Schizosaccharomyces pombe: one gene and its partners. Changing the gene in region 3 together with the main gene of any one other region gives a genetic interaction. Each region holds a gene or a part of one and is shown on either strand. Other genes may lie near its edges.

The links.
Region 1: of ppb1 (region 3) and pck2, a mutation in one rescues a mutant of the other (synthetic rescue), as found in Schizosaccharomyces pombe (2 studies listed by BioGRID).
Region 2: mutations in ppb1 (region 3) and ypt3 are lethal when combined (synthetic lethality), as found in Schizosaccharomyces pombe (2 studies listed by BioGRID).
Region 4: of ppb1 (region 3) and mkh1, a mutation in one rescues a mutant of the other (synthetic rescue), as found in Schizosaccharomyces pombe (3 studies listed by BioGRID).

What each region holds. Positions count from the first base shown.
Region 1 is NC_003423.3:2,307,259-2,316,435, forward strand, and holds pck2 (protein kinase C (PKC)-like Pck2), read right to left. Parts: upstream 5,751-9,177; 5' UTR 5,580-5,750; coding exon 2,529-5,579; 3' UTR 2,179-2,528; downstream 1-2,178. Other genes in the region: chaperonin-containing T-complex alpha subunit Cct1, read left to right, coding at 178-208, 257-304, 343-428, 673-2,178; DNA polymerase zeta Rev7, read left to right, coding at 6,286-6,316, 6,366-6,392, 6,436-6,486, 6,527-6,639, 6,682-6,797, 6,846-6,949, 7,019-7,218; SPOM_SPBC12D12.05C (calcium-binding subfamily carrier protein), read right to left, coding at 7,411-8,529, 8,567-8,728; cyclin CycC-like Srb mediator subunit Srb11, read left to right, coding at 8,910-8,941. UniProt on the Schizosaccharomyces pombe protein: Involved in the control of the cell shape. Target of the inhibitor staurosporine.
Region 2 is NC_003424.3:2,211,972-2,218,961, reverse strand, and holds ypt3 (Rab11 family GTPase Ypt3), read right to left. Parts: upstream 3,291-6,990; 5' UTR 3,227-3,290; exon of another isoform or gene 3,171-3,226; 5' UTR 3,148-3,170; coding exon 2,721-3,147; exon of another isoform or gene 2,586-2,720; intron 2,477-2,585; coding exon 2,396-2,476; intron 2,342-2,395; coding exon 2,205-2,341; 3' UTR 1,828-2,204; downstream 1-1,827. Other genes in the region: serine hydroxymethyltransferase Shm2, read left to right, coding at 163-246, 393-1,775; heterochromatin (HP1) family chromodomain protein Chp1, read left to right, coding at 5,103-6,990.
Region 3 is NC_003423.3:2,869,856-2,877,661, reverse strand, and holds ppb1 (calcium-dependent serine/threonine protein phosphatase calcineurin catalytic subunit Ppb1), read right to left. Parts: upstream 3,741-7,806; 5' UTR 3,666-3,740; coding exon 3,527-3,665; exon of another isoform or gene 3,483-3,526; coding exon 3,276-3,482; exon of another isoform or gene 3,122-3,275; coding exon 1,803-3,121; 3' UTR 1,553-1,802; downstream 1-1,552. Other genes in the region: S-adenosylmethionine decarboxylase proenzyme Spe2, read left to right, coding at 293-1,429; oxa102 (translocase Oxa101), read right to left, coding at 4,535-5,764; SPOM_SPBP19A11.07C (uncharacterized protein), read left to right, coding at 6,791-6,810, 6,863-6,929, 6,967-7,418, 7,469-7,590, 7,633-7,721, 7,774-7,806. UniProt on the Schizosaccharomyces pombe protein: Calcium-dependent, calmodulin-stimulated protein phosphatase. This subunit may have a role in the calmodulin activation of calcineurin. Appears to be involved in cytokinesis, mating, transport, nuclear and spindle pole body positioning, and cell shape.
Region 4 is NC_003424.3:611,251-620,463, forward strand, and holds mkh1 (MEK kinase (MEKK) Mkh1), read right to left. Parts: upstream 6,026-9,213; 5' UTR 5,599-6,025; coding exon 2,248-5,598; 3' UTR 2,119-2,247; downstream 1-2,118. Other genes in the region: exosome 3'-5' exoribonuclease subunit Rrp6, read left to right, coding at 1-2,027; sro7 (Lgl family protein), read left to right, coding at 6,594-6,695, 6,743-7,172, 7,221-9,126, 9,170-9,213. UniProt on the Schizosaccharomyces pombe protein: May regulate cell morphology, cell wall integrity, salt resistance, cell cycle reentry from stationary-phase arrest, and filamentous growth in response to stress. Activates the MAP kinase kinase skh1/pek1 by phosphorylation.

The DNA of each region.
Region 1 (9,177 bases), 560 kb from region 3:
TTTGTGTTGCAGAATTTTAGTTTCCACCAAGAGGGTAACATTACGCTATATGAGGTAACACTTAGAGGGTTTGAATGCTTTTAGTACATTTCAAAGAACCTTCCTCCCTCGACGTCTGCCAAACGTGTAAACAAAGATTGTTAATCAGTTTAGAGGAGAACATCGAATCTAGCTGAAATGTTTCAAGCACCGAGAGAATCCACTCTTTGTAAGCATCCAATATTGCGCTGGATGGTAAATTATTAACATGTTGTAGTTTTGAGTGGTGAAAAAATCAGTGGAGAGGACGTACGAAACCAAAATGGTATGTTAATTTTCTTTTCATAACTTTTAACATTTTAGTTTTGGCAACGACCGCAATTGCGAATGTCGTCAAATCATCCTTGGGTCCTGTCGGGTTAGACAAAATGCTCGTTGACGATATTGGTGTATGTTAAAGACCTCGTGAAGAAAAGAAAATTTTAGACAATAATGGGGGATATTGGCCTTTAACCAATATTTATTGATTTGATACGCTAGTGTTGTAATCTTCTCGCATTTAAGGAAATCTTAATTGGCAGGGAAGAGTCAACCTTATATTGTGAATCGAATTAATAAGTATTCCTGCCATTATAGTTCATCTTTTATTATATTTTTTCTTACTTTCTTTTATTTCTATCTAACTTGTATTAGGATGTTACTGTTACAAACGATGGTGCTACCATTTTATCATTATTGGATGTTGAACATCCTGCTGGTAAAGTGCTGGTTGAATTAGCTCAACAACAAGACAAAGAAGTAGGTGATGGAACTACTAGTGTTGTCATTATTGCGGCTGAATTGTTGAGACGTGCGAATGAGCTTGTCAAAAACAAAATTCACCCCACTACTATTATAACCGGTTATCGACTTGCTATCCGTGAAGCCGTAAAATTTATGACAGATGTCTTGAGCTGCAGCGTAGATAGTTTGGGAAAAGAGAGTCTTATTAACGTTGCCAAAACCAGTATGTCTTCAAAAATTATTGGTAATGATTCAGACTTTTTTTCAACCATGGCTGTTGACGCAATGCTTTCCGTCAAAACTTCTAATTCTAAGGGTGAGACCCGTTACCCTGTTAAAGCTGTCAACATTTTGAAGGCACATGGCAAAAGTTCTCGAGAGTCCGTCCTGGTTAAAGGTTATGCTTTAAATTGTACCATTGCCAGTCAAGCTATGAAAACTCGTGTTCAGAATGCTAAAATTGCTGTTTTGGATATGGATTTGCAAAAAACTAAAATGGCGTTAGGTGTGCATGTGACGATTGATGACCCCGATCAACTTGAAAAGATCCGTGAACGAGAAGTTATGATTACGCTGGAACGCGTCAAAAAAATTCTCAATGCGGGTGCCAATGTTATTCTTACCACAAAGGGCATTGATGATCTCTGTTTGAAATCCATTATTGAAGCTGGCGCAATGGCTGTTCGTAGATGCAAAAAGGAAGATTTGAGACGTATCGCCAAGGCTTCCGGTGCTACCTTACTCAGTTCATTGTCAAATTTAGAGGGTGAAGAAACCTTTGAAAGTTCCTACTTGGGCTCGGCTGAAGAGGTTGTTCAAGAAAAATTTTCGGATGATGAATGTATTCTTGTCAAAGGAACCAAAGCTTATTCGTCTGCATCAATTGTTCTGCGAGGCCCCAATGAATACTCTTTAGATGAAATGGAGCGTTCAATGCATGATTCTTTAAGCGTCGTCAAACGCACTCTTGAGAGCGGCAAAGTCGTTCCTGGTGGCGGCGCTGTGGAAACAGCTCTGAGCATTTACTTGGAAAATTTTGCTACCTCTTTGGGCTCTCGTGAGCAACTTGCAATTGCTGAGTTTGCACAAGCTTTGTTAATTATTCCCAGAACTTTGGCCGTCAATGCCGCCAAAGACTCTACTGAACTGACAGCTAAGTTGCGTGCTTATCACGCAGCCAGTCAAAATGCTGAGGTTACAGATGTTAAGAAACGGGGATACAAAAATTATGGTCTTGATTTACTTAATGGCGTAATTCGTGATAATGTTAAGGCTGGTGTTCTTGAGCCATCCATGTCTAAGTTGAAAAGTTTGAAGAGCGCCGTTGAGGCATGCATTGCTATTTTACGTATCGATACTAGTATCAAACTTGATCCCGAAAGACAACCAGAAGACCCACATGCAGGGTTGCACTAAAGCAATTACTTAAGCATAGGTATATTTGGCGGGTTTCATTGAATGTATCCAAAAATTTTGCTCCATAGATACAAATGCGATGGATATTAACATATATTAGCACTATAGCTGTTGACCAATAAACGGTAAATTATTAAACTCAGTAAATTACTACTTTGCTAGTGCTTTCATAAACAAAAGTCTAATGCCACTGTATGGATTATTAATGTGCATGCTTATAATATCATAGATACAACCCAGGTAGTAAAGAAATCCAAAAATGTTTAGTTTAAAAAGTCGAAATTAGAATAATTTATCAATGCAATGAAAGATTAAGAAAATGAGAGTAACTTTATGCTCAATTTAAGGTGCTAAGCATTATCGGTAGTCGAGGGTTTATCATCCTCGCATGAATAAGAAAAACCTTCAAAATGTTGCTGCATCTCTTTCGTCAGAATAGAATTAACAGGAGTAAGAACTGGGAGTTCTCGGGTAAATTCCTCATCGAAATACTTGGTGTCCGTAGGTGAATTCAAACTTGGAATGTACGGTGGTTGAGTTCGCTTATGATAGATGTCATCCCAATTAATGTTACTAAAAAATGGATGAGTCATGACATCTTCTGCATCGTTAGGGCCAGATCCAAGTCGTTTTTTAGGATCGCGAGTCAAAAGTTGTTGTAATATAGAAACGGAATCCCTTGGCATATGAATAGGATACAAAGGTTCATCAGATAAAATTGCATCAAAAATTTCTTCTTCGTCTTCTCCTCTAAATGGAGATTGACCAAGCAGCATTTGGTAAATTAGTACACCAAAAGCCCACCAGTCAACGCTTCTCGTATATTGCTGTTCTAATAAGATTTCCGGTGCCATAAATTCAGGAGTACCGCAAAACGTGGCAGTAGTGTTATCATGCCACATGTCTTCCTTACACAAACCATAATCGGCCACTTTAACATGACCATCTGGGCTTAAAAGGATATTATCAAGCTTAAGATCACGGTATATGATACCGTTATCATGAAAGTATTTTAGAGCAAGACACACCTCAGCAGCATAAAACTGTGCCCTTCTACGTGAAAATTGTTCCTGTTGAATGTGAAGCATCAAATCACCACCACTCACAAAATCCATGACAAAGTAAATACGGGTTTCGGTTTGAAAGCAAGAATGCAGGTTTACCAAAAATGGATGACGCTCTCGGTTGGCAACGAGAAAAACGCGTTTTTCGGATTTAGTGCTTTCGACTTCATCGTTTTCTAAGATGAATTCCTTTTTCAAAACTTTAATAGCATACAATTGCTTTTCACTTTTAAGCTCAGCCAGCATTACTTTACCGAAATTTCCTTTGCCTAGCACAGATAAGAAAGTAAAGTCTTCAAGTCCGATACGCTTAGCTTTATGCGTTAGGTCTTGAGCAACAACAGAGGTTTCAACTGATGGTACTGGGATTGGCTCTTTCACAGCATCTAGGGAAGGAGGTTTCGTCAACGCATCAGCTTTGTCATCCACTTTCTGCTCGACAACCTGAACTGTAGCGCCAAGTTTATTATCAGAGACTGATGTCACTTCTAAATTACCGGCATGTACAGGCTTTCTTTTAACCGGTTCAATTGCCAGTGGTTTTGGAGAAGTTGGAACAGGGTCTGCAGGAGTGATAGATGGTGTTGTGGTGGTTGTAATAGAAACGGATGCTTTGTCATTTTCCTTATGTTTCGAAGATGAAGACTTAGACTTTTTATGATGATGATGCTTGTGATGTGAACTTTTCTGTTTATGTTGTTGAGCTTTATAAATTTTAGTTGTACGAATCTCAGAAATAACCCGGTTAGCCATCTCCATAGACATACCACAGAAATCCGGAACAAGATGAACACACTGAGCGTGCGCAGTTATTCCACACTCCGTACATTTCCTGGCAGTTTTTCTTCCTAAAGGAAGGATGTAGCCACAGTGACAGCACCAATTAGCACCTATGTTTGTGTGAGATTCAAAATGATGAGGAATTCTATGGTTGATTTTCTCGTATTCGCTAGAAGCAGAATCGCTAGACTTTGAAATGCATTTAGTAACTACCTTTGGATAGCATTTTTTATGACAGGTGTAATGACAATCAATGCACTGCATACCAGCAGCATTCTTCAAAAACTCTCCACATAAAGCACAACGCATAATTTGATAAAATTGATGTTGTAGAAATTTGTGACCATAAACTTCGTGTACGCTTTCCTTGCGTTGACGGATAGCACCTTGACGACCGAGGCCAGCATCCATAGGTCTCTTCCTTGTATTATGCTTTGTGAAATTCATGGTCAAATTAATTTGTCCCATGGGTTCAAGAGAAAACCAAGCACTCACACTTTGATTACCGCTAGCTGTGTTGGGGCGGTCAGTACTTTCAGGCTTTGAAATATTATTAAGAGCAGAAGGTAAAAATATTGAAAGTCTTTGATTAATCATTTTGTCGGCACTAACCCAACCTTTATCTGAAACCTCTTGTTCAACCTTTTTTCGCCTTTGTTTTTCTACTAAATCCGATAACCGTATCCAAAGTAAACCAACAGGTAATAGCAATTTTTCATTTTTCTTTTCGTAAACAACTATTTCGACCTCATTAGTCTTCTCCAGATCAATTTCAAAAGTTTCATTAAAACGGTCGGTGCGGCTTGGACGAGTACGTGCACGCTCAAGATCCTCTGCACGAATTGCAACTATCATTTCCGTTTGCTTGGAGATTCCAGCAGAATGCGTGACGTTCCTTAGAGATCCTACGGTAATTTTAAGGAGACCAGACTGGGGACGACGGGCATTTAAGTTACCTCTACTTTCCGTACTGGGAACATCTTCCTCATCGATTTCGATATGCAAGTCATGGTATCGCTTCAAAGCTTGCTTGAGTAAGGTAATCTTTTGAGCACTTTCTACATACTTCTTCTCTGCTTCAGCTATACTACGACGGTCATGTTCACGCTCATAGAGCTTTGCCATCTTTTCAATACCTTTTCGATATTGTTCCTCAACAGATAATTTGAACTCCAATTGTTGTAATAAGAATGATATCTTTGAAATAGTAAGAGGGGTATCATAATTTAGCAAATCCAAGTTAGAATCGATATTAGAAGAAGTAGAGGAAAAGCTTTTAGCGGATTTTGTAGTGCTAAAGGATGGATTCTTCTCAATGCCAACGGACGGTTTCTCAGAATTACTCTTTCGGACACCATTTTTGCGAAGCTTTAGTTTTTCTAAGCGTTCTTCTAAATAAATAATGCTCTTTTTTGATTCTTCAATATTGCTATGAAGTTGTTGGTGAACTGTCTGATTCTGAGTCAAGCGCTTCATGGAAAGGGCGCCATGAATAACTGATCTTTCTCTTTCAATTTTCCTAACAACTTCTGTTATAGCCTCATCAATCATATCCATTACTTTAAATGGCCTAATCCTGATTTTTCCGCTTAACTTCTTATCTGCAATTTTTCGCTTCCGTTTTTAATATTAATGTGATTATAAGATTTCATTAAGACTTTTAAGCTCGATAAAATGCTAGTAAACACCCGCTTTAGTCCTTTCGATGTTTTCGTACGTTTAGTAGTTGGAAGGCGGTAGCTATGAAGTAAGACTGGCAAGCTCGCAGGGATTTCGCAAGCAATTCAAAGAATCCCACCACTCCATTCCTTTTTCAAAATTTATTGAAATATATGGGCAAATTTTTCAGCGACCCCTGTTATAATTTCGAAGGATTTTGGCACGTTAATCTTGAAAATAACGATTTTACAGAACTTTACCCCATAAATATTTTTGTCACATGTCCAATTTTATTTGATTGATGCTAAAATTGTAATAACGCAAAATAAAAAAATATTGACCAATTAATAGAACAGTTCATTATCCAGCTATCTTATTTGTCTTTTGTTAGTTTTACGGAATCCCGTCAATAATCGCGGGTACGTTATTGTAATCCATGTAATTACTATGTTTGCTGATATTCTTTTAGTTTGCATATCTTTGGTTTAATAACTTTATAATTTATTTATTTTCTCGCTTCATTCAGAAAAGATAGAATTCTCGAATTTGAACGAACATATTAAGAAATTTTTGAATATAGTAATCATCGTATCGTTCATGTCTGATGGAAAACGACACAGGATGGTCTGTGAAAAGTATGTTATTAGTATGATTATTTGGGTCTTTTGCTTGCTAAACTATTAGAATGTATTGATATATTTGGAGAATTTTGTATGTGTGCAACTTTGAACTTCCATTTTTGCTTACAATTCAGTGCTTGTAAGCATTCATTGTATTCTTTACGCTAGAAGACTCTATCCTCAAGGTATTCGATTTTTTAGCTTTTGATTTAACTCTCATATTAGACCTTTTTATAAAAGCTCGAAAATACAATACAATTGTCTGGCAATCAAGGCATCCGATCTTGTGCGAATATATTGAAGAAGTAGTGCAATCTTGTATCGAGGAGCTTCAGACGGTATTCTTAGTCATCCAATTCTTTTTCTAACTGCTCGTCTAGGGATCAGTACATCAAGTTGCACTCTCTATTATTAACAAAGAGCAGCGAGAAGAGGAACGATATGTCTTTTCAACGGATTCTATCCCGATTATTCCTGATTTCTTACTTGAGAAACAGTATGACTATCATTAGCTTGGCATAGGCATCTTTTAACAATATTGTAGAATTTCAACAAATGAGCCATTCACAGATGCTTACGTTGAATACATGAGAGCTTCGCTCATCCAATTACTCAATATAACAAATGGACTTCCTCTTATTGAACAAGGTATAAACAGTATTATTTTCTAAAAAAATATTCTATTACTAAATTCAATTCTAATAATACTGAAATTAGAATGCACTTGGACGCTTCGGGTAACGCTAAAAGATGGTTTTCCCAGACCAAAACAATGGGAAGAGTGGTTTCTTCCGCCGCAAGCGAGAGAAACAGACGCAACAAGGCAATTTAAGGGCATCACCATTCCTGTTCGAAATGTGGATATTGGACCAATGATGACGGAAATTTGGGTCGAGAAATATACAAATTCGGATTAGAGGTATCTCTAATTTTCTTTTCAGAATGTAGTGCAAGAAAAATGGGTATCTGCTATGAAATAAGAGGGGATTAGGTAAAGTAAATAAAGAATCAGTTTTGCGATAAAGGATTATCATTATCAATGAAAGAATTATTAATTTTGAAGTAAAGGTCCCTACCAATAAGAATTATAAATAGTTAGAAAATGTGCCTTACTCTAGGCCCAACCATTTTTTGCAATTCTCATATACCAGATATGAAATAGCGACACTAGGTGCTACCTTCAACAAATTAGGAGACAATCCTTTATAAAGCCCACGGAAACCTTCATTTTTTGTAGTTTTGTAAAAGCAGTCTATAAATCCATCGTATGTTGCAGGATGTGCAGACGTACCTTGCGTTTGTAAACGAGTACGTATGACATTAAGTGGAAACACTATGGTAGCGCCAGTGCTTCCAGAAAGTGCTCCAAATGCCATCACTAAACCATTAGGAAGTTTCACATCTTGTGGATCGACATTGTCACGACTTGCTAAGATACCTATCCATGTCCTCTTAAGGCCCTCAAATGTTCCCAAATCTGTTGCACTGTATGGAAACATACCCAGTATGCCCACGAGCACGCCTCTGTAATAACCCCGTATCCCAACGCTTTTATAAAGTTCCTTTGCGTTGGACAAAATAATGCTTTTTCCATGCTGACCACGAGATAAATCGCTGCACTGAATGCGAAATTTCAGAGTATCTACCGGATATATAAACATTTGAGCAACTGAACCAGCCATGCCACCGGCTAAGTAAGAATAAAGAGGACTATGATTTTCAGAGCTTGAAGATATTCCAAGTACTCGTTTCATCGCTTCATATGTACCAAATTTTATGGAGGATTCAGGCATCACCTTTAAAACATTAATGCCATTTCCCACAAAGAAGCTACGTATCCCATTACGGTTCCATAAAACTTTAGTGGTATGTAGCAAAGTAGCAAAAGGATACTTCGGGGAAGGTTTAGAACCAGTGTCTGAAATCAACATGACTTTTAGCCGATCTAATGGCGCTGTACAGGTACGAGAGACGATTCCAGCAATCCCTCCGCTAATGAAATAACCAACGTTATTTTTAGGGTCATTCTCTAGTAACAGATCACCGTCAGGTAAATTCTGTAAACGATGAAAGACGAGTTTCATATGCGGAGTATCATGAATCCAACTTGCAGGAATTATTGAATCATGTTGATGATGCGGATGTGGGTGCAATTTCCAATAGCCATGTCGAAATTGATGCTCAAATTTCTGTTTATGAATGAAGTTTAAATTATCTAAAGCAGTTTTCTAATGGTTAAAGAAAATCCTTTTACATTAAACATACCAATTCCGGACCTTGAAGAAGAGATTGGCAATTTATTTCTTCTTTTGGGGAAAAAACAAATCGCGATTCTGGAAGCCTTGAAACCCGTAAATTATTTTTAAACAAACTATAATCACATGGAAGTACGCTTTGTATAGTGATATCAGATAATTCAGTTGGCATCCTTCATGCCGGTAATGAGTGTACCGGGGTAAAGAGAAATAGGTGAGTCCTCACAGGTCAATGTATCTGACCATACCAGCAGCCCATGAAAATTTATCGTAAATAGTAAAATCTGTGACACTGTTTTTTATTATCTCTTATGATATTTAAGGGTCAATCAGCTTAAAATATCGTGTGATATATGGCAGCAAATTACTGGGCCTCTAGTCAATTGTAAGGTTATCAATTTTAATTTTAAAGGTTTTACGAGAAGGTAATTGGCCTTTAATTCATTCCTATTCTTCTTTAAAATGTCTTAATTGAGTTTTGAATATCTGCTTTTCTATTTTATTACTGCTGAACATATTCTTGACAAATTGAGGCTTGCGAGTGAGCTGATCTACGTCTAATTACTGATCAGAGGAATAGCTTTTCTGTCTACTTCTAGTCACGAGTATCGACTAAACTGG
Region 2 (6,990 bases), on a different chromosome or scaffold from region 3:
AGAACTTTCCAAAAGGAATTTTCTAATTTGACCCACCTAATAGTTTAATATTCTTTATTGTTATTAAACTTTAGTTTGTAAAAGTTTTTCGGACGCGCCAAGTTCTACTTAAATTTTATCAACTTTATCTTTCAGTTTTAGGACACCTTACCTATCACCACAATGGCAGTTCTTCGTCAATTCGTCAAGAACTCTTACTCTTCAATTCCCAAGCGCTTTTATGCGCTTTCTGCTAATCAAAAAAAGGTAAAGAAGTTTATTTAAACGCGCTTTTTTGGAGCAAGCAATGACTGTATTTTCTATCTGTGCTGTTTGCTACTATCAACAGGCGATAGATTGACTTGCTCAAATGATTTATGAAGTGTTCTAATAAAGTTCTAACGATAATTAAGTTACTCAAAGCACCATTGGCAGAATGTGATCCGACAGTGTATAAGATTTTGGAATCTGAGAAAAGCCGTCAGAAAGAGTCGATAGCTTTAATTGCTAGCGAAAACTTTACTTCAAGAGCTGTGATGGATGCACTCGGAAGTATTATGCAAAACAAATATAGTGAAGGCTATCCTGGTGCAAGATATTATGGTGGTAATGAATTTATAGATCAAGCTGAAAGACTATGTCAAACGAGAGCTTTAGAAGCTTTTCATTTGGATGGGGAAAAATGGGGAGTAAATGTACAACCCCATTCTGGGTCTCCGGCCAACTTACAGGCTTATCAAGCAGTAATGAAGCCACACGATCGCCTAATGGGTTTAGATTTACCCCATGGCGGTCATTTATCTCATGGTTTCTCTACTCCCCAGAAAGCTATTTCAGCTGTCTCGACTTATTTTTCCACCATGCCATATAACGTAAATAAGGAAACTGGTATTATTGACTATGATAGTTTGGAAAAGGCTGCGATACAATTTCGTCCTAAAGTTATAGTTGCAGGCGCTAGTGCTTATGCACGACTCGTTGATTACAAGCGTATGCGTAAAATTACGGAAATGTGCAATGCCTATTTGCTTTGTGATATGGCTCACATATCCGGTTTAGTAGCTGCCGGTGTAATTCCTTCTCCGTTTGAATACGCCGATATTGTTACTACGACGACTCATAAGTCTTTACGTGGACCGAGAGGAGCTATGATATTTTATCGAAAAGGTACTCGTTCTCACGATAAACGTGGTAATCCAATTTTATATGAATTAGAGGATAAAATCAATTTCTCAGTTTTTCCTGGACATCAAGGCGGCCCCCATAATCATACAATTACTGCGTTAGCTGTCGCCCTTGGACAAGCAAAAACTCCTGAATTCTATCAATACCAAAAGGACGTTCTAAGTAACGCCAAGGCAATGGCCAATGCATTTATTACTCGTGGCTATAAGTTAGTTTCAGGTGGCACGGATACTCACTTGGTTCTTGTTGATTTGACCGACAAAGGTGTAGATGGTGCCCGTGTCGAACGTATTTTAGAGCTTGTAAATATTTCTGCCAACAAGAATACTGTGCCCGGAGATAAGTCTGCTTTAATTCCACGTGGATTACGTCTGGGAACTCCAGCTTGCACTACTCGCGGTTTTGATGAGAAGGATTTTGAGAGAGTGGTAGAGCTAATTGATGAAGTTGTATCTTTGACCAAGAAAATAAATGAAGCTGCTTTGAAGGAAGGAAAATCGAAGTTTAGAGACTTCAAAGCATATGTGGGTGATGGTTCTAAATTCTCTGAAATCGCCAAACTGAAGAAAGAAGTTATAACTTGGGCTGGAAAATTTGATTTCCCCGTTTAAGCTGTCTCTAACTTTTTGGCTCTTATCTCATACTTATCATCTGTTACTTTCTCTTATAAAGGATATATCATGGAAATTAAACATGAGCTGTATGAATAATGAAAATATCTGGACAAATTCTCTATTAAAGTAACCCTACAAATATCATATAATAAACAGAGGTAATAATGTGTTACACTTATATGCTGCATAGGAATGGGGATAAAATTATGCTGAAGCGTGTATAAAGAAGGACGGTAAATCCATAGTAGACAATATTAGCATTAGGCAAAATATCTACCCCTTTATTAAAGGATACAGCCCTAATAAATGGTTGACTAACCTGCTAAAGATTTCATAATCATAAGGCACCTTAAATGTTATAAAGGGGTGGAGTTTTTAAATGAAGAGAAACGAGGTAAAATAATGGTACGAATCCGTGATAACCATCTAACAACATTGGGAAGAAGACTTCTTCTTATTAAGATCATTCATGGTAGGGGCGATATTAAGCGTTTGACCAGCTGTAGGATGAACACCGTCGTCTCCAGCCTCGAGTGATCTGTTGGAGACAATTCGGAAAATTTCTACGCTAGATTAGTAAAACTTGAAGAAATCAAAGCAAGTACGAATAAACATACCAGTCAAAACTGTTTGGAAAGCTTCTTCAACATTGCTAGCATCCATGGCGGAGGTTTCAATAAAAGATAAGTTATTTTCAGCTGTAAAAACATTAGTTAATTATGTTCAAAAAATTATGACGAATCAGAGGCAAACAAATGTGCTTAATAAACAGAGAATGGAATCGACAAGGTGAATAATATTTCAAAACAAAAAGAGATCTTCTACGCTTCAAGCAGTTCAAAATTGCTAAAAACGATGAACGGAATAAAGTGAGAGCGGCTAAAGCCGGTTTCACTACTTCCCGTCCGAACAACTCCATATCTCACCAACAAAATTACTTACCAGCAAATGCCTGGGCTTCTTCAGTAGATACAGCTCTTAAATGTAGTAAATCCGTTTTATTACCAACAAGCATGATAACGATGTTGCTGTCTGCATGCTCACGAAGCTCCTTTAACCAGCGGCCCACATTATCGAATGAAGATTGTTTTGTGATATCGTAAACAATCAGAGCACCAACAGCACCACGGTAATAAGCTGAGGTAATGGCCCGATAACGTTCCTGACCGGCAGTATCCCAGATCTGTGCTTTAATTTTTTTGTTGTCAAGAACAATATTTCTAGTAGCAAATTCAACACCAATAGTACTCTTGCTTTCGATATTAAATTCATTCCTAGTGAAACGCATAAGTAGGTTTGACTTTCCAACACCACTATCCCCAATCAGCACAGTCTTGAACAAATAATCGTATTCGTCCTCTTGACACATGGCTAAGTTCTCTATCGGTAAATCTACGAACAATTTTTGTTAACAAATATTTAAGGTCAAATAATATCAAGGTATATACCTGTAAATTACAATGAACCCTGCTTTCGATAGTCGAAGAATTTACTTAGTCGTAGTTTGTTGTAGGTAAGTTGCAGAGGGATATCAGAAAACCTAAGGAAGTAATAATCCTTTATCATGGTAACAAAAAAAAGTCCACTAGTGCCACTGGCCGTTAAAATGCATATAACGCATTCCAATGATTCATTAAATAATTATACTGCGTTACAAAGAATGTCGTAATCATGAGAAGGCTGGTGTCGTTTAGTGATTGCTATCATCAAAATCATTATGCTGTTGTTCACTATAAAGCGCTATTTTGTAAACATTTTAAAATGCCTTTGATATAAAGAAGCGCAAGTACTCAATTGAATGCAAGTACTATCAATTATATGAATGACCGATTGAACCCAATCGCAAAACTGGATATGGACGGGTTGGTATGGGTTTTTACAGTGCGATTAGTCAGTACTATACCCATTTTAGTCCTGCATCAAACAATGATGTAGAAATTCTTTGAAAGCAATGTTTTGATTTCCAAGTTACAAAGTTATCTAGCCAAAGAAAGAATATTTTAAGTTCCGGTTTTTTCAGCAGCTTTTTCTCACTTTTATAATGGTCACAATGATCGAAATTAAAAATTTGAAAGAATAAAATTGGCGGCTCAATTGAAATCTTTTTCTTTATGCAAAAGTTATACAATGTTGGATGCTGCTCATGGCATGCAGGCATCCTTCATGCAGAAAGTTACTTGAGTAATCCATCGAATAATTATCGTTGGCAAATCTTGGGTTAACAAGAAACAAAAAAATCCTGCACATAAACAGTTTTTCTTATTAAGTTCATTTCATGGAAAACGAATAACATAGTTCCGTAATAATATAAGTAAATGGATCCCTTGGTTAACCTCTATATAAAATTAATGCAAGCAATTATCAAAAGAGGTCGTGTGGTTTAGATGGTTATAATTTCTGCTTAACATGCTAGTTCGCAGACGGTCCCAAGTTCGAGTCTTGGCACGATCATTTTTTTCTATCGTAGTAATTATTTACTTTTCTTATTGTACTACCAGTTTTGGAATGATATGTTGTGTTGAATTCGTTTATATAGAGTTAACACATTTAGAGGTATTATGTATAAACGCATCGTTTAATAAATTGCAGCGCTCAAAATCTACTCATTGTAGCTTTTTGAAAACAAAATTCATTATTTGTTTAAAGTTTTTCTAACTTACACAACCACCCAGAAAATAAAATTAGAAGTTCAGGAGGAATGAGAAAATTTTAAACATTTATCAATTTACCAACAAAGTTTTTTGACTACTAGTACCTCATGTATGCAACTAGTAACACTAGTGGTTAGTGAGTATTTTCTCAAAGTACATATGTCTCCATAGGTGTCTTCAAATCTGCAACCTCAACCTCACACACTTGATTAATGCAATAAAACTCCAAACCCAATCGAAAACTTATTTTTTTGTATATTTAACGGTTTGCGTTGGTGACACGACGGTAAAATCACGCGGATTTTGTTTGATTCCAAAATTCGAGTGCATAAGCCATCTTGCTTATTGCAGCGAGACTTCGAAATTCTAACATCTAAAAGCTTCATTACTGGAATTATCTGTTGTTATTCTTGTGTTCCATTGGTAAAAAAATCACAAGCAAAAGGGAAATATTTGAGCCATTTTAGAGGTTATACTCTGCCCTTCATGCAACTATAAAAGTAGTTGAAAGGGAAGAACTTTGGCTAATAGTTTTGTCAAGGAATCTATTCAATCTTGCTTAATTCCGTTTTTTTTTTAAATTCATATCTTTATCCTTTTATATATTTTTTTGTTGTAATACTTCAATCTCTCTTAGCGACACGTAGGTGAGCAAAAAACCCGCTACCTTGAAATGGTATCTGTTAAACCACTTCCTGATATTGACTCGAATGAAGGTGAGACAGACGCGGATGTTTATGAGGTGGAAGATATCCTTGCTGACCGCGTAAATAAAAATGGCATAAACGAATATTATATAAAATGGGCTGGCTATGATTGGTATGATAATACTTGGGAACCTGAACAAAATTTATTCGGTGCGGAAAAAGTGCTTAAAAAATGGAAAAAACGGAAAAAGTTAATTGCTAAAGGCTTGCTTGAACCTTTCGATGCGGAAGATAATGAGGCAAAGAAAATGAAGAGAGAAAAGGAGATATTGAGGCAACAAAGACAAAAGCGCAAATCCGAGCTTACCCAATTATCTCAAAAAGTCAAAGAAAAATTCAAAAAGATGCGTAAGAAGCCTGCCCGAAGGATTGTAACCATCGCAAATGATGAAGAGGAAGAGGACGATCAGACAATGGATGAGGATGCGTTTGAGAGAAAAAGTATGCAAGGGGAATTGAAGGAGAGGAATTTGACCGATAAAACTAGCACGCTATCCACATCGTTTGGTGAAACTAGCCCTGATGTTAATCCTTTCTACTTATCAGAGTGGCCTACAGTTACCGACAGTATTTTATTGTCCAAAAGCCTCTCCAGCGATGCAATACCTTTGAAAAATGGCGAAATTAAAAGCACAATGTTGATGCCCAGTGACTCTGACAACTCAGTTCCCGGAATTCAAAATTCGAACAATCTTGAAAATACTGGCGCTTTTGTTGAAAATGCGAATTCACCACAATCTAACACCCCCTTGTCAACCTTTAGGCATTCAAGCCCTTTAAGTCTGTCGCCAGTAATAACTTCCGATAATGATGTTGCCAATTCATTATTTTTTAGCAATTCGACTCCTCTTCCTTCCTCTTTGAAGATAAAAAAGGAAGCACCGAAATTAGAAACGCATACGATATTAGTTAGTGATAATTCTGGTTCTTTAACGAAGCAAGATATTTTATCGTACTTTGCTTTTATCAAAGGAAATATTGAGGTCTTTTTTCTCAAATCACCAAAGAAAGACAAAGTTTGTAATATGGCCTACATTCAATTCGATTCTATCGAACAAGCCAAACTTGCGTATGATAAAGGGCATCCAAGTTGGCATGTAACTTTAGTAAAAGGGAAGATATCAACTGATATGGAAGAATGTAAAGTCTCAAAGTCTATTTTAAAAACAACCCCTTCAAAGAAAGCAAATGCAAGGTCCGTTTCTTTTACACAAACAACAACAGATACCCTTTCTGAGTCGGAAAAATTTGCTAGCAATGTCGATCTGGACGAAAATTTCGATTTCAACGTAAACGTGACGAATGAAGATGCTAAGCAGCTTAAGAAAAGTGTTATCGGAAGTAGTTGGACTACTGTTAATAACGACTGGAACAGTGTTTCTAAAAGCGATCAAACTTTTGAAAATGATGGAGCTAGCAAAGTAGTTCCGGCTGGTAATATTACTTTAAATTCGGATAACTCTCTTCACCATTCGATAAGCGAATCCGAAGATCTTTCTTCAGCAAGCACATTGTCTGATTATTTTAGATTCGTTTTGCGAGTCGGAAAATCTCTCTACTATGCTGGAGAATTGTCATTTGATATATCCAAGCTTAAGGCGGAAACTGAACATCAACAGTTGTTACGAAGTTTAGTCAGTTGCAAGCAAGTAGATGTTTTACGTTTTGTTACTTCACAATATCTCGAGGTATTTGGTACTTGCTTGACTAAAGTTCTTTCCGGAAGTCTTTGTATTCGAAGCGATGTTGATATGACTCACTTTAAAAATATACTAAACCGCGGCAACGGTGCTGGCATCGTTCTGGGTAGTAACTATACATTATTATTATTTACAGAGGATAATAATGCTTTAA
Region 3 (7,806 bases):
TCATCATTTCCAAATTTATTATTAGCGTCGATGTCATTTGTAGCATATTCAAAAATATTTAGGGTAGGGTTTTAAAATTTTGATCGATACAGGATGTTTCTGTGGTTATGTATTTAGCCTCAACATCATATAAAATTGGTGCGACAGCCGCAATTAAGTTATTATTTGTATGCTTTTTTGCTAATAAATATCCTAAAAGTGTAACTGGAGCAACTAGCTAGTACGTGTTTTGGGAATTACACTCACAGCGCACATATAGCATTGGAAGTTCTTTGTATGACTATATTCTAAAATGTCTCCTACCCTTGTTGTTGATCAAGAGAATTCGGAAGAATTTAACACCTCCTCATTTGAAGGTCCTGAAAAATTGCTGGAACTATGGTTTTCGGCTCCTATAAAAACCAATTTAAGTGCGGGTGAAAAGGCTAACTTGGGACTAAAAGCTGTTTCTCGCAATGATTGGGATGATATGCTAGCCCAAGCCCAATGTAAAGTCCTCAGCGTTGTTAATAGTGAAGAAATAGATGCATATTTACTTTCTGAATCCTCTATGTTTGTGTTTGCCCATAAAATTATCCTTAAAACATGCGGAACCACTACACTACTGGCTAGTTTGCCTCGCCTATTAGAAATTGCTTCTAGTGTTGGCTTTGATCGTCCTCTTCGTATTTTTTACTCAAGAAAAAACTTTTTATATCCCGAACGCCAGCTTGCACCACATACGAGTTGGGAGGAAGAAGTTCGTTACTTACAACTGTTTTTTCCAAGTGGATGCTCTTATGTAGTGGGTCCGACAAACAAGAATCACTGGCATCTGTTTTCTGATCTGGCTGATGATTATTCTTTACTGGAAGATTCCCTTGATCCTGAAGATGAGACCCTAGAGGTACTCATGACTGATATGTCTCCCGAACGCTCGCTTCAGTTTTACGCTCCATCCTTGGATGTTGTTCGGAGCGCTAGAGGTGATGACTATGTTCGAGAAAAAAACAATCTCTCGGGGGGTCACATCCTTGGCAGTTATGTAGCTGATGAATCGGGTGTTAGAGACTTATGTAGTACCTCTGATAAAAAAGCAGTGCTTGATGCTTTTCAATTTGAGCCAATTGGGTTCTCGTCGAATATGATTTACAAGGACCGCTATGCCACAATCCATGTTACGCCTCAAGAACATTGTTCTTATGCTTCATTTGAAACAAATGTTTCGCAATTCCAATTCGGAAGATCCATATCTGAAACAATCGAAAAAACTGTTAAAACTTTTGGTGCAAACAAATTTTGTCTTACCCTTTTCCAGGCTAAAGGTGCGTCTCAAGAGAAGCATTTCTCGGCCAAACTTAAATCTTTTAGCTCTTATAAGCGTGAAGAATTTATAGTGTATGACTTTCCTGGATATGATCTTATATTTGCCAGCTTTACTGCAGTATAAGTTCGGAGAACAGTCAGCTAGATATTTTAAATTATCTGTTGCTATATTTATTATCATTCTTTTTTACGGTGGAGCGTGCCATGCGAATACCCCTTTTTACAATCTTTCATTATGCAAAAAGTAGTCGTCTTTTGTTTGCTTGTTTTATAAAAGGTTTCATAGTTATGAATACCAAAAAGTTTATTATGAATATCTAAATGCAATGCTTATGTATCTAGTCATCGGTTATCTTGTATTATGCTAAAGTAAACTCATTTGCTTTCTTTATTTTGAGTGTTTAGATATTTGTTGTAAGTATGCTTAAAACCTCGGATCAGGTTTATGCTCATTGAAAAATTCCAACTAAAAAACGAATATGCGCAGGTTTTGGTATCTACAAAGAGCTTTTCTTATCTGCAAAGCGTTCTACCAAATGATCGATAGAGGTATCATCTTCAGACGAATTCATTACTTCTTCGAAAGCCTTTAAATCCGTAGAACGTCGACGGCTATTAGATGGCGGTAAACGTTCATTTTGGATATCCAGCTTACGAGCATCATCGAAGGAATTGATAGCATTTTTGATACCCTCAGCTCCCAACATTAAAGTACCCGCAGGTAATCTTTGCGTACCTGACACGTTTTTCAGTTCCGAAACACTTTCCCGTTCTTCTCTAAGCACACTGAATACTCGAGAGATACGGCCAATAGCCATAATCTTGTTTTTAATAATTTGCCTACGAGCTTCAATATCAATTTCTTGGTCGGCTTTATTTTCATTCTCAGATGGAGCAGGCTGTTTATGCTGAGTCGGAGCCGATTCTTTCAAATCCGTTTCATAAAGCTCCTCCTTAGAACATATATTGAGCATTGAAATCAACATTTCAGAAACTTTTTCGCCCACAAATGGAAGACTCCAAGTAAAAACATCCATAAAGTTAGGAAGCCAGTAAGGATGAGGGGAACAATTAAATTGTCTTATATTCATTACATTATTTTCGTATTTCAAAACAGCAGCTTTATTATTGTAAACATCCAAATAGTTGGGTGCTGAAAATATGGTCATCAAAGATGGAAACCCGGTTGTTTTAGTTTTGCGATACATTCGATAGCCCACATCTTGAGCTTCATGAGCACGAATAACGGAGAGGAGATTATTGTTTTCTAAGAAGGTGCAAACAGCTTGGTAACTATAAAAGTAAGAACAGCCACGAACATTATTATGAATAAAATGCTTGTTTGATTTTTCCGATCCAAAATCTTCAAGGGGATCAGACCAGAGTAAATCACACATCAACCCATGAGTTGGAGGCTCACAAAAACGATTGATCATTCGTATATCATTCAAAGTATGTAGTTCGGGTGATAATCCACCATGTACACATAAAAATTGCTTATTCATAATAGCTGCCAAAGGAAGGGCATTAAAAGATTGTAAACAAGCTTCATAAACTTTAATATTATACTTATGAGTACATTCTAACTTGAAGGTAAAATAGTCAGTAAGATGAGCGCATTCGTGATTGCCACGAAGCAACCAAAGCGTTTTCGGATACCATATTTTCAAAGCCCACAAGTACAATAAACACTCAATTGAGAAATATCCTCGATCCACGTAATCTCCAAGGAAAAGATATTGGGTATTTGCTGGATTACCTCCAACTTCAAATAGTTTCATAAGATCATAATATTGGCCGTGAATGTCACCGCATACTAAGCTGTCAGACCGAAGAATATTGCAATACAAACAAAATATCGACCCAAATTAAAATGAAGGAAAAACATAGTCATAAATTACATTTCAAAGTTCTAATATTTTACCTTATAGTAATTAGGGCCTAAATATGAAAGGTGATAATCAACATACCAGTGACAGGTGCATCCACCTCAATCAAGTTGTCTTCTGACTTCAAAATTTCTGTAGCCTTTTTTATAATATACAACGTTTGTTCCTCAGATAAACGGCCTTCCCGAATGAAATGATTGCGAAGAAAATGCAAGTCAGGTTTATCAGGTTCATTAATATCAAAAAACTCCACGTCCGTCGGAATATAAGTTGCTGGTGCTTGAACATCTTTGATTGTTAATAAGACTAATTTCTTTCAAAAATATCCGTACTTTTCACTACTCTATCCAGTGTGCTAACACTAGAGCCATCTTCTTGAACAAATATTGTAAAATCATGAGAAGGAGCTTGATTTTTTTGGCGAATTGCTCGAACTATTGGGTCTTCTAAATTATGAGGACCCGAAGTCATATTAGTAACTTTTGCAAGCCTATATACAGCCTGGGTAAAATGCTAGATATTCTTGCAAAAAGTTTTGGTAGATTCTGGTTTGTTATACTTACATCGTCCCGGCGGTTTTGGAAAATGGTTTAACGAAAAGCAAAGAAATTCGTAATTGCTTTTCTCAATGAACCATGTGAACAAAAAACATATCTGTTTACAATTCTAAGTACTTTTTTTTTTTTTTATAATATAGATATATTTCATCATAATCTTTACTTCTGTATATTTAAAAATTTACAAACAATCGCCGCTTAGACAAACATATCTTAATAACCAATCGTGTTAGTAATAAGAAATGAACTTGTAGAAAGGGAACCCAAATACTACCTGAATTCCTTCCTAATTATATTGCCTTGCTCATTTTTGAGAGAAGCAAACTAAGTTGATTTGATGAAACTTACATTCCATGATTACCTAACTGAAATAACGATAGTTTTATTGATAAAATAAATATCCATAAAACACTTTAAGAGTTAATAATCATTTTATTTTTTGTTTAGACGGCTACGTCAAATTTTAGGTTATTGTAAATATTCTTTGATTTCTCATCGCTTTCCGTAGTAAAGAATTAGACAAAAGCGATTTTTAGAAAGAATAAGCAAAATAAATGTAAATTTGGGTATTTTATTAGAAGTAAAGGAAATAGAAAAGAGTGTTGCAAGTGTGAAGATATATGCAAAAACTAAAACATATGTAAAATTATGGGATAAAGCCAAAGGAAAGAAATGAATAATGCAACAAATGTAAAAAATTAACCATATCTTACAAACTTTTATGCTCTCAATAGGACATTGGAACACTTCTAAGAAAGAGAATTCCAAAGCACACAAAAAAGCTTAATCTTTCTTCTCGGTGGGTTTGGTAACAGAAGAGGACTTGTCATTTTGAGAATTATCAGATAGCGTAGTAGCTTTGGTAATTGTACTATTATTAGTAGGTTTTTGCTCATTGTTTGTATCGGTTTTAAGGAAACGTGTAGCATCTAGTATTTCAGAGGCTTGTGGGTATTTACCTTTTTCTTGAACCCCATGGACAATATCGGTAAATGACTTAACAAACGATTCATTTTGAGCGTTCGGTACTGGCATAGCAGATGGGACTTCTGGTAAGCCAAGTTTATGCCTTATGGTGGATGAACGCAAAAATGCCCCTTGAAATACACTGAAGACATTGCTAGGAAACCAATACATAAAAATTGCCATAGGAAAATTCATAGTGAATAGTGGACTGGCAAGGCAAAGAAATCTAAAAAATTTTTTCATTGAGGGAGACATAGCAACCTTATTACTTCCAGTTTCGCTACCAAGCTCTATATTGAGCAGCATAAGAAGGCCGTTTGCAACCGGAAATATGTGTAGAGGATCAGGCTGGGATAAATCATTAACCCACCAAAAACCACCATCAGTGAAACCCTCTACAGGTACACCCGCCATTGTCTTCAACGCGTAAAAAAAGCTAATAAACAGAATTCCCTGAAATACAGGAGCAGAAAGCAAATTCAAAGGGTTAACATTGTTAACTTTATAAAGGTTTTGGATTTGAGTGGTAGCTTGCATCATTAATTCGCTGTTTCCTTCAGCCTTTGCTTTACTCAACACACTCATGTGTTCAGCAACCTTTGGGTTAATGATAGCGAGCTTTGCGGACGTTTTCATCATCTTTAACATAATAGGAAATACTGCAATTCTCATAGCAACAGCACATGCAGCAATTGAAGCCCACCAAGGAAGGCCGCTCCAAATATGAAGCGTATTAAGGCCGTTTTGGAGGATATTATGAGGTAAGAAAGAAAAAGATGCTAAGACGGAGGACGACAATGGCAGACTAGGAGTGTAAACCACTTTCTCGGACCTAGATTTGGGGAAAGAAGTCGAAGAGTTGTGAATTTTTATTAAGGAAGAAGTACGCTGATTTCGGCCAAGCTTAGCAAAAGAGAAATTCTTAAAAAATGTATTATGTGTGTGGATCTGGCGAATCTTCGCTCCTTGTGTAGCAATCAAAAAGCATGATACCGAGTAATGAGATTTCGAAGAAAACTTTATTCCTCTTCCAATGACTGAAAACATGCTTGATTAATAGTGAAGCTCGAACTTCAAGGATATATGTTTTTACAAATCGAAGAACCAGCTAATGTTTATCCAAGATACCCAAAAATAAAATGAAGCGATTAAACCCAAAAAAACATATAAATAGATCCAAAATCCTCTAATAAAAATTTAATTGCAAGTTAAAAGTGGGTAAATTAACTGGTAAAATAACCTGAAAAGGTAGTAGAGATATTGAAATTTAGTTGTGTGCGCGTTGGCACACGGTGTAGTGTGGTATCTGTCGTTATATAAGTAAATACATACTATTTTTTGACTATTTATAATTAGATTGTTTCACACAGTTAAATCTGACACAAGCGTCAAAGTCAACAATGAAAATAAACTAGCAAAGCGATCGTTTGACCAATAATGACATTGGTTTATGTTACAAAGAAGTTAGTGATACATGTGTTTTTTGATTTAGAAGTTATGGCAAAAGCGGTTATTGATTCTAAAGAGGATATAAAGATTTAAGCGAGTTCTCTTATTTTTTTTTTTTACATTTCCTTGGTATATTGAGAAACGAGTCTTTGGTTAAACATGAATAGAATATGACTATAGTACATGTTTAGTTATAGTGAGTAATAGTGGATATTAATACTAACGAATTGCAGTGACAATACTTATGAATTGTCAATATTAATGAAAGATAACGATTTATCGTTATACTGTCAACAAATTTAGTATGTGTATTTACTGCAATAAATTGGCAATACTGTACGACATCATAGTACCGTATGTCCTACTTCCTAGCTGTGCTACTTTTGTAAAGCCAAATTGGAATTTAAGTAAAGGCTTCCATTTATAAAATTGTATTTAGGTTGTTAGCATTACCTAACATTTTGGACTATACCAGTTACTAAAGCTTTTAAAGACAATTTCCGACATCGAACAGAAAGCATATTTTGCAGAAGTTGATTGCTCTTATTTCTAAAGGCGTGTTGTGAATTAAAGCATTTCCTTTCTCAAATCTAAACTTTCATATTTAGCATTATATTGTAATCAATGGGATCCGCGGAATCCAAGTTAGTACTCGTTTTGTTCGGTATTTCGATTACTAATGCCTTTTGTTTATAGAATTTCTTTTCGTCATGCAATCCTTGCTTCTTTAAATACTAAGCCCGAGCGTGAAATTTACGAGTTTGTAAGTTGGTACACTTTGGAAATTGTTAACATAGCAGTTATTTACCTGCAACTTGACTGAAAATGATGTTTTCAGTTTTATTCTTGCTCAGGACATACGCATTTGCAGGGATAGCAACAAGTTTGACAATTTAGCCATATTGTTGCAAGTTTGTGTCCTTAACATCGTTTCAATTCAAAACAAGTTTTCAGAGCAGTATCCTTTAAAAAAGAATGCTTTACTAAATAGCTTCCTAATTCTTACACGGCTGTTACCATATCTCTATGAATCTACTAACTCCAGCAATTGGGTGCGCACGTATTTTCAAAAAGACTTCTCTCAAACCGTAGACGATTTAAAACCACTACTAAGCGAGTTGGGCTTAAATTACGAAATTGAATTACCGAACTCTTTCTCTAACTTGACTTCTCTATTGTCGTCAACTTTTCAGCTTTGCTTTCAACACGAATTTACTGTTTCAAAATATGCCTCTTCAGAGGAGAGCATATGGTTGGTCAATTTGAAATTTGAAGTATGTTCTTGCTAACTTCTTTCTTCAGGTCAGCTGGTATTGCTATCCCTGAAATTGCTCATCCACCTTCGTATGATCATCGACTGCATCAGTCCCTGCTTTCCTGCTTTCTCGTAGTTCTCCTTTCAAATACTTTATACGATTCTATCGGTATGTAGGTTTTTGTTATTAATACGGCGGGCTAATCCTTAGATGAACTTGACTTCTCAGTGCTCAATTCAATTGTTTCGCTTGATGCTAAAGATATTTACATTAGGGTTATATGCTCATTTGTTAACACTGTAAGAAAAGACAATTTTTTAAACATATTTCTAATTCTCAACTTTTCTTTAGGGGTTTATCGATTCCACAAATTGGTTCCTAAAC
Region 4 (9,213 bases), on a different chromosome or scaffold from region 3:
CAGCGATCGAAACCCATGCGTCGACAAGCGATGTTGCCAATAAAAAACCAAAGAAAGAAAAGTTGCCCTACAAGGTTATTCACGCAGCTCATCTTACTAAGCCTCAATTAAGGTTTCGAGTACAGCCTAATAATTCCAGGGAGTTTGTGTGGTCTTGGAAGTTAACTGAAAAACCACATTCGTTAGTACCGCTCGAAAAGATTATCGCTCAAGTCAAATTGGACCCTAGTCTCAAAAACTCGTTACCACATCCATATGAACCAGAAATACAAAATAGCGTATATCCTCCATGGGTTTCAGAAATGTCTAATCCCATCGATACTGGCTCTGTCGACGAAACAGAACCTATCTGGGTTAGTACTGAAAGTCAGTTATCGGATATGCTAAAAGAATTACAAAACAGCAAAGAAATAGCCGTTGATCTTGAACACCATGATTACAGATCATTTAGAGGGTTCGTCTGTCTAATGCAAATTAGTAATAGAGAAAAAGATTGGATTGTTGACACCTTGGAACTCCGCGAAGAGCTTGAAGCTTTGAATGTTGTTTTTACTAATCCAAATATCATTAAAGTTTTTCATGGTGCAACTATGGATATCATTTGGCTGCAAAGAGATTTCGGGCTTTACGTTGTAAACTTATTTGATACATACTATGCTACTAAAGTTTTAGGATTTGAGGGTCATGGTCTGGCTTTTCTGTTACAAAAGTATTGTGATTATGATGCAGATAAAAGATACCAAATGGCTGATTGGAGAATCCGTCCTTTGCCTCGGGAAATGTTAAAATATGCTCAATCTGATACGCATTATTTGTTATATATTTGGGATCATTTACGAAATGAACTCATATCAAAATCAGCTGAAAGAAAAGAAAATCTTATGCAATCAGTGTTCAATTCCAGTAAACAAATATCTCTTAGAAAGTATGAACTTGAGCCTTATGATCCTATTTATGGACTTGGTACTGATGGCTGGAGAAATGTACTTACTAAGTTTGGCTCTTCTAAAATAATTGGACGGGAAGCTTTGATGATTTATCGAGCACTGCACGATTGGAGAGATTCCGTAGCCCGAAAAGAAGATGAAAGTGTTCGCTATGTGTTGCCAAATCGTTTACTTATTGCGATTGCCGCCAGTAAACCGGTTGAAGCGGCTGATGTGTTTTCAATTTCTAAGCAATTGACACCAATTGCTCGCATGTATGTTGAAGATATCGTTAAAGTCGTTCAAGAAGCCGAAAAGTTGTATAATGAGCAAGTAGATCGTGAGAAATCCCAATTTAAAGAAGTTGAGAAGCAAAATCAACCGCTAGCAGTTTTTTCCGAATCGAATACTTTGGGTGATTACAAAGTTGACTCCAGTGTTTTCGAGATTTCTAAACAAAATAGAAGTAAACTAAAGACTTTGCTGGCAAATGGATCTGCGTTTTGGATTGAGGGACAGTCGCAAGATGATTTACGGAAAGCTCGTAAAGAGAGACTCTTTATAGTGAACCAGAATATTCCTTTTTCATTAACTCTTCCTTGTACTCAAGGGCATGTTGAATCCGAATTGAATGTAAAGCAGTCCACTGTAACTGAAGCTGCAAACCCGAGTCTGAATGGAGAGAAGAAACAAGAGCCTATAGTCATTAGGGATTTAGGGCTGAACAAGCAAAAAAGGGATTCTTCTAAGCTTAATCATAAAGAACCCTCAAACCCCATAGAGGAGCGAAATGAAGATATTGAACCTTCGGAAGCTTCAACTTCAGTGTCAAAAAAACGGAAGCAAAAGAAGAAAAAGAAGAACAGCGGAAAACTTACTATTGAAGCCGAACATGTTTCTAATGACAGTCCAATTATCAATGAAGCACCTTTTGATTATAAAAATCAAAAGAATTTTATTGCTGACTTAGACTCTGATGTAGGAAAAAATAAATTTGGGAAACGGGGTTTTAATCCTCTTAACAAGGTAAGTTTACCAAAGCGAAATACTAGGGAACTCAAAAAAAGGAAGGTTTCAGACGGGAAGAGTACATCTTATTAATATCAGTTTTAATTTTAAATAAACGAAACAATTTTGACAAAATGAAAATTTACTTTTAAATACATTGTAGAAATTGAAAATGATCATGTATGTTTGTTTGTATAATAATGTAATAATTTTCAAAATTAATTTCAATATTAAATAAATAGCTATAAGAAGAAATTGAGAATGCATGCCCCTGCGAGGAAACGCTAAGTAATAAATAATAATTGCGACCAATTTAGCTCTTTCTTTTACAAAGCATGTCGTAAAGATTCGTGTCCTTAAAGTTGAATTCTTCGTCACATTTCATAAACGGGTGATTTAATAATTCCTCTGCGGTTGGCCTTACATCAGCATTCACAGTAAAGCATGCATTCAAAAATTGAATCGCTTCGGGTGATACCTGAGACACCAATTCACTAGGAATAGGAGGCGCCTTTTTCTCGGTACCTAACTTGAACATAGCTTGGATAGCCTCATCTGTAGACCACGGTCTACGACCAGCTAACATTTCCAACACTACACATCCCAAGGACCAGACGTCGACCTTAGCACTATATCCTTGATGATCATTATGAATTACTTCAGGTGCCATCCAAAAGATGGATCCTTGCATGGACAGGTTTGCGTCATTGTCATACACATTATCACTATGCTTAGATATTCCAAAGTCTGAAATTTTGCAAACTCCATCAAAATCAATGAGCAAATTGTCAGCCTTTAAATCTCGATGTATAATACCTTTAGAATGTAAGTAAGACAACCCGTAGAGCACCTGGCGTGATACAAAACGGACCAGTTGCTCTTCGAAAGGACCATAATTCCGCAAACATCGACCAATTGAACCACCTGAAACATATTCCAGGAATATACTTATATCCGTTTCCGTCTTTTCGAAACCCAGATATTGCACTATATTTAAGTGATCCAAATCGGCAATCATAGAAATTTCTGCATTAATGGAATCCACGATATCTTTGCGTAATTGGTCATGACGGCCATTAATAGTTTGTGGTATTTCAACTTGCTTTACTGCAATCAATTCACCCGTATTAATGTTCATAGCCAAAAATACCTTACCATAAGTACCATTTCCAATCAATTCTCCTTTCATCCATTTGAACGTGGCATTTTGTGAAACAACTGATCCAGAAGTTATAGTAGTATCTGGTTTTAGTTCTACAATCCTAGAGCCCCAAAGTTTCGTACTTGATCGACGTAGAAGATTTCCAGATTTATTGCGTCTCGCGTTATGTCGTATTTCTTTCCGAGCTTCAGATGCTTCGCGGGCTAATAATCGTACAGACTTCATTTTCGGACGTATCGATACCTTTGAAGGGGAAGAAACCATGCGGCTTTGGTCCACTACAAGTACTTTATCCAAATCATAACGGGGAAAAAATCGATCAACATCCTCATAAAGATCATCAGCAGATGGACGAACTTCCCAGTTACCAGAATTGATAACCTTTGAAGACGGTGGGGATTCACGAATATGTTTGGACTTTCTTAAACGATAAGATAACGGTGATAAACTAATGGATCTGTCATCACCTCTACAGTATTCAGGAGTTTTAGGCGAAGATAGTTCATTTGCTTTCAAATCCGTAGCAGCCTCTGTGTTAATGGAAAGTTTGGATTGAATGTTGTGATGATTTTCTTTAGGTACTTGGGAGGAAGATTGTTTGGGCTGTATAGCCCAAAAGGGATCCCCAGAAAGATCCGATTCGTCTAGTGCAGGCGCATCTTCAAAAGGTATTTCTGATAAAGCTTCCACACTTTCCTTTAATGAATTAGAAGATTTACTAGATGCTTTGGGGTCAAAAGACGTATGTGAAAATTTGCTAGCTTCGTTATGTCCGGTATCAATGTAAGGAGAGGACCGAGCGTGACGAATACTTGGTCTACGAGTCAATGTATTTTTTCGACGTAAACTAGATGTCTCTGTGGGTGGGGGTGGAGGATCTCTATGTGCCACAAAATTTCTAGTTAAAACAGAAGCAGAAGTATTAGATGAAGGACTTTGGGGAGCGGAAGAGCCGGAATTAAGTGGCATTTTCAATGTGACCTTCTTGTGAGGTCTACAAACGGTAAATTTGTTTTTTTCACTTTGGGCTTCAGTGGCATCCAAAATTTTTGTAGCCATTTCTCCTTTAGCACCACGGATTTTTTCAAACCCTCGAAAACGTCGAGATGGTAATTCTGGAACAACTGCCAAATTCGGTGCCGAACTAAAACCTTTGTAGTATTTATTATCAGGTTGATGCCCTGATAATGATAAATTAGGTCCTGCATCAGTAATTTCAAAATCCGAAGTAAGCACAGGGTAACTTGGTTGCTTTTTAAAATCTTCCTTGCGATGATATATTGAGTCATCATCAGCTTTATAAGTTGAACTTGATTTTGTGCCAAAAGATAAATAAGTATCACTATCCATACCCGATTCTTCATTTTGTGATGGCTTTACGAAAAATTTAATAGTTCCAAATTCATCAGAATAAAGCCTTGCAATATCAAGCTTTCTATCATCTAATATTTCTATGTATTGAGCCCCGCCGACTTCCGTGAGAAACAAATCAAACTGGTCAATTGAAATGTCTAAATACATACTCTTAGCTATTAGCTTACGTAGCTGAGTAGCATTTTGGACGTTGGTAATATCCACTACTGTGAATTTCATATCATCCATAGTAGCAAGAACAAATGACTTCTTTTTGGATATTAAACCAATTTGACTTTCTAAACGATGAATACGAGGTACCCACTCACCTTGATCCAAAGACGCGTCTAATGTTTTCACATTTGAAGAAGCTAAATGGAATGGGTTCGAATTTGAAGAAGGGCAATCTTTAGTTTTATCCTTGTCACGAGAAAACCCAGGTACCCGGAAACGACGGAGAAAGCTAGTTTGTTTTTCTTTATGTTCGGATACAGGTTGTTTCGACAATGTTTTTTTATTAATGTTTCTGCTGTCATCGTTAATTATTGAAGTGACAGTTCCTTTGTAAGCGTGTAAGTTTATAGGAGAGCCTTCCAAATTTAAAGAGGTTGTTTGATGGGAGTTTTTTCCTGTGCTCAATAGCTCATTGTTGTCGACTACTGATCCACCGAAGCCACCAAACACGTTCACATTGCTATCAGGAACACTCTGAAAGCTTTTGAGGGACGAATTTTGATTTGAAGAGCGGAAACCAGAGTTAGTTTCTGTAAAAACGTCATCCGAACTATCTTTGGCGCTGTAAGTTAATGTTTCGTAAGACGAGTTTTTGCTAGGTACGCGAGTCGAAGAAGGTGCTAAAAGTGTTTTGCGAATACAGCTACTCAATTGGATGGCAGACTCCTTGCTCAATTTATTTTTAAAGGCGAATTCCTCGGCTTTTGATTGATCGGCCAAATTGATAAATAAATCCATTTCGATTCGACTTTTAATAAAAACGTCTTCCCATTCTTTGTTAAATTTGTATAGTTTTAAAAACTGAAGTACACTGTTAAGTGACCAATCTTGCTTATCGACATTCTGAAGATGAAGAGACTGTTCAAACCGTTCTTCCAAAGAGCCTGATGACTGCGATCCGATATCGGCAGCCATATACCCAGAACAGTATTAGTTACTTTGAAAAGAATTCAAGATAAAAAACCTTTTTTTTGTCAAACGAATTGGAGATTGCTGCTTAAGTAGTTTATGATTAAAAAAATTAAGATTCGGCTGAAACGAGTGAACTAATTTGCAAAAGACAGACTTGGGATGTTAGTAATAGCCCAATTTCTTGCAGGTAAATAAAATATTAAGAAAGGAGAGAAATGTTGAATCACTAGTACTCAGGGTTTAAAGATATTGCAAAAAGACTTCCCATGTGTTTTGACATGCAGCCCGTATGATACCGCCAATTCCACAGAAGCCTGTTAGAAAATAATAGAGAATTAAAAATAGATACTTTATCAATGTAAAACTGATATTTCGATTCTATAAACCTTCACGGGTAAACCAAGCAATCTCCAGCTTGGTGTCTGGCTTTAGGCCCGCTCAAAATCGCTTGCGGTTTGACTAGTGAATGATGCAAAGTCGAATTCAGTGCTATAAGGATAAAATTAGAAGTCTCATTATTTGTCAGCAATACTACATTACGCTATGATACACTACGTTGTGTATCACTATATGTCATATGTTGGAATACTAGCTAAGATCCGTTTATTGATAATCACGGGTAACTATCCATCTATATACTAGTTACCAGTTGATAACAACTATTTAGAAATATTATAAATAGCGTTACAACTGAACCTCGTTCCTCAGTTCAGTTATGAGCTATATTAGTGATAGGTAACATTATAACACAGTTAATACAATACTCAGTTGCTACTCATACAACCTGTTTATTGTAATATAATAGGTTACAAGGAAAACTCACCGCAGTTTACGTATCCTTAAATCAGATACCAAACTGCGTAGCTTACATTATTATTGGTTTAACGGCACAAGACGTTATCCAAAAATAGCGTTCTCTAACACGAGTTGAGCGTGAGTTTGTATATGCTACGAGGGTATAACATGATTAGTATATTTATACCAAGAATTGGGAAAATATGAGCTTTTTTAAAAAAAAGCTAAGTAAGGGAAAAGAAATTTTATCCAAATCCAATTTGAAGACCCATACGTCTTCAAATGCTTCACTATCGATAGACGACGTAAGTAGGGAAGCAATGCTTGTTGAATGTTTAATAACAAAGATTAGTTGAATCGATTTGGGTTTTCCTTAAATCCAGTATTATGGTGTTTAGACCATCAACAAGGCTTACTAGCTATTGTATCTAGTACTAATCGGATATACATTTACGGTAAACAGCATGTCCAGAGTGTGATAGTTCCAGACTGTTCAACCATTGTCCATATAGCCCTTTGTGCGGCGTATTTGATTGTAATTGACTCTCGAAATACGGTCTTAAGCTATCCCTTGATGAAACATCGTGACCTTTCAAAACCAGCTGCCACTTACTTTCTCAAGCAAAAAGTTACATGTACCGTAACGGATCCTACTATTGATTGGGTTTTTTTTGGAATGAGTGATGGCTCCGTTGTGCCATGGGATGTTACTAGACATTGCCTTGGAAAATTCAAAGTTCCAAATTTGTATGTCCCAAGACACGAGGAATGGCGAATGATGGGTACGTTGAGGTCATTGTTGTTTATTTGAATTTATTACTAATTTTCAGGCTACTCTTATGCACCAGTTCCTGGAAAGCTATCCCCAGTTGTAAGCGTTCAGATTCACCCGAAGGATCTCGGTGTGATTTTGATTGCATATCCGGATGGCGTTGTTTTGTACTCAATAAGGACTGACGAAGTTATACGCTTTTATGAATTGGAGTATGCACCAGGTAGTACAGCTGCAGTTTTATCACCCCATAATTATCGAAGACCTATAGTCAAAGGGATAGAGTGGAGTCCTTGGGGTGATCACTTTGTTAGTTACTATACTGATTCGACTTTTGCATTCTGGGATGTGGATCAAGAATATCCTGTACAAGTCCGAAATTTTGTCGATTCAAACATACACACGTATACCCCCATGCAGAGAAATCCTCCTAAGACGGAGCTTGAGCCCATTAGGTCTATGAGGTGGTGTTGTTGTGAAGACCCAACAGTTTCATTTATTTTGATGTTAGGTGGTTTGCCGAAAGAAGCACCGGTAAAGGGAATTTCATTGTTCAGTTATCGAAATCTCCCTGCCAAAAAGGATGTTGAAACATTTGCGGAATTTTTCGCAAATCCAAACTCACAACGCTTTTTTCCTTTTATTGACATCCCCCCTGTACGTGATATGCTGGTGATTCCTTCTAGCTCACCACATTACAATGGATCTCATAATCCCAAGAATCTTCTCCTTCTTTCGGAAGACAACTCGTTATCGCTGCTCGACATTTCTACTGGAAATATTTCAAACATGAGCCTTTCTATTCCCCCCTCTTTATGCTTCCTTGCTTCAGATTTTCGAGTTATAGCATTTCAAACTGTAACAAAAAAAGTTTGGAATCAAATTGAAGATACTATTTCCGTTAATTCACATTACTCCTGTCTTTTTGGCGGATCTCCTAGTCCCGGCTATCTTAAGAAATTAGATGAGCGTAATCTACTTATAACATCGACTGGTCTTAGTTTATCGATTTGGGATATATCTCAGGGTTTTATGAATCCATCTCTCTGCGTAAATTTGGATTTCTCTTCTGTAATGCGAAAGCATCTCACGCCTTCAGCTTTTATAACTACTGCCTCTTTTTCCACTTATAATCCAGAATTCAGTTGTGCTGATAGTTTTGGGCGTGTCATTGTTTGCAAAAGGAAAAATCATAAAGAAAATTTACCAGCTCAGCTCGCTAACGGAATATATCGTTTGGACGATACCTTAGTTCTAGAGGGAACATTACATGCTCAATATTATATTGATCTTAAACGAGGAAGAGTAACATTGAACCAAATGAGCAATATTGGTTTTGTTTGTATAGGATATCAGGATGGTGGAATTACAATCATCGACATGCGTGGCCCCCATATACTGTGTAACACCAGCATCTCGGAGCTTGGATTAGAGAGAAGAGGAAAACCTGATCCCGATTTTCTTACGAGTGCCGAGTTTGTCGTTATGAACCCTAAAGGAAGCCCTTCCTCAATCTACGTAGTCACAGGAACATATAGAGGGATGACACTTTTATTCCGTATAGACCCTTCCTCTTCAGGGCGCTTTTCTGCTTATTTTGAATCATCTCGACAATTAGATATTAAGAACATTTATAAAATATGCTCTTTAACTCAAGATGGCCAGATCGCGACAGCCACTGGATCCTCATTACAAAGCGTTGGATATCCCTTACCACAGGAAGTTTTCCTCGTGTATATTGGCGATTCAGGAATTTCTGTTTTTAATAAAATTAATAATCAAGTGGGTAACCTGGATTGGAGAAAACCTGTTTGTTGTCGAGCAGCTCTTGTGCTTTCTACTGTTTCCAAACACATGGGTTCCGTAGTTTGCGTAAATTCTGATCTTTCGGTGAATTGGTATTCTCTCCCAAACCTTCGTGAGGAACGTAAAATGCAACTTCCATTGGATATTGATAAAAATAGGTAAGGTGTTTACTTGAAATGAATTTGCTAACTATTCCATTAGGCTCAAAGAAGGTGATATTCTAGGCAATGGGGATTATATTTTCC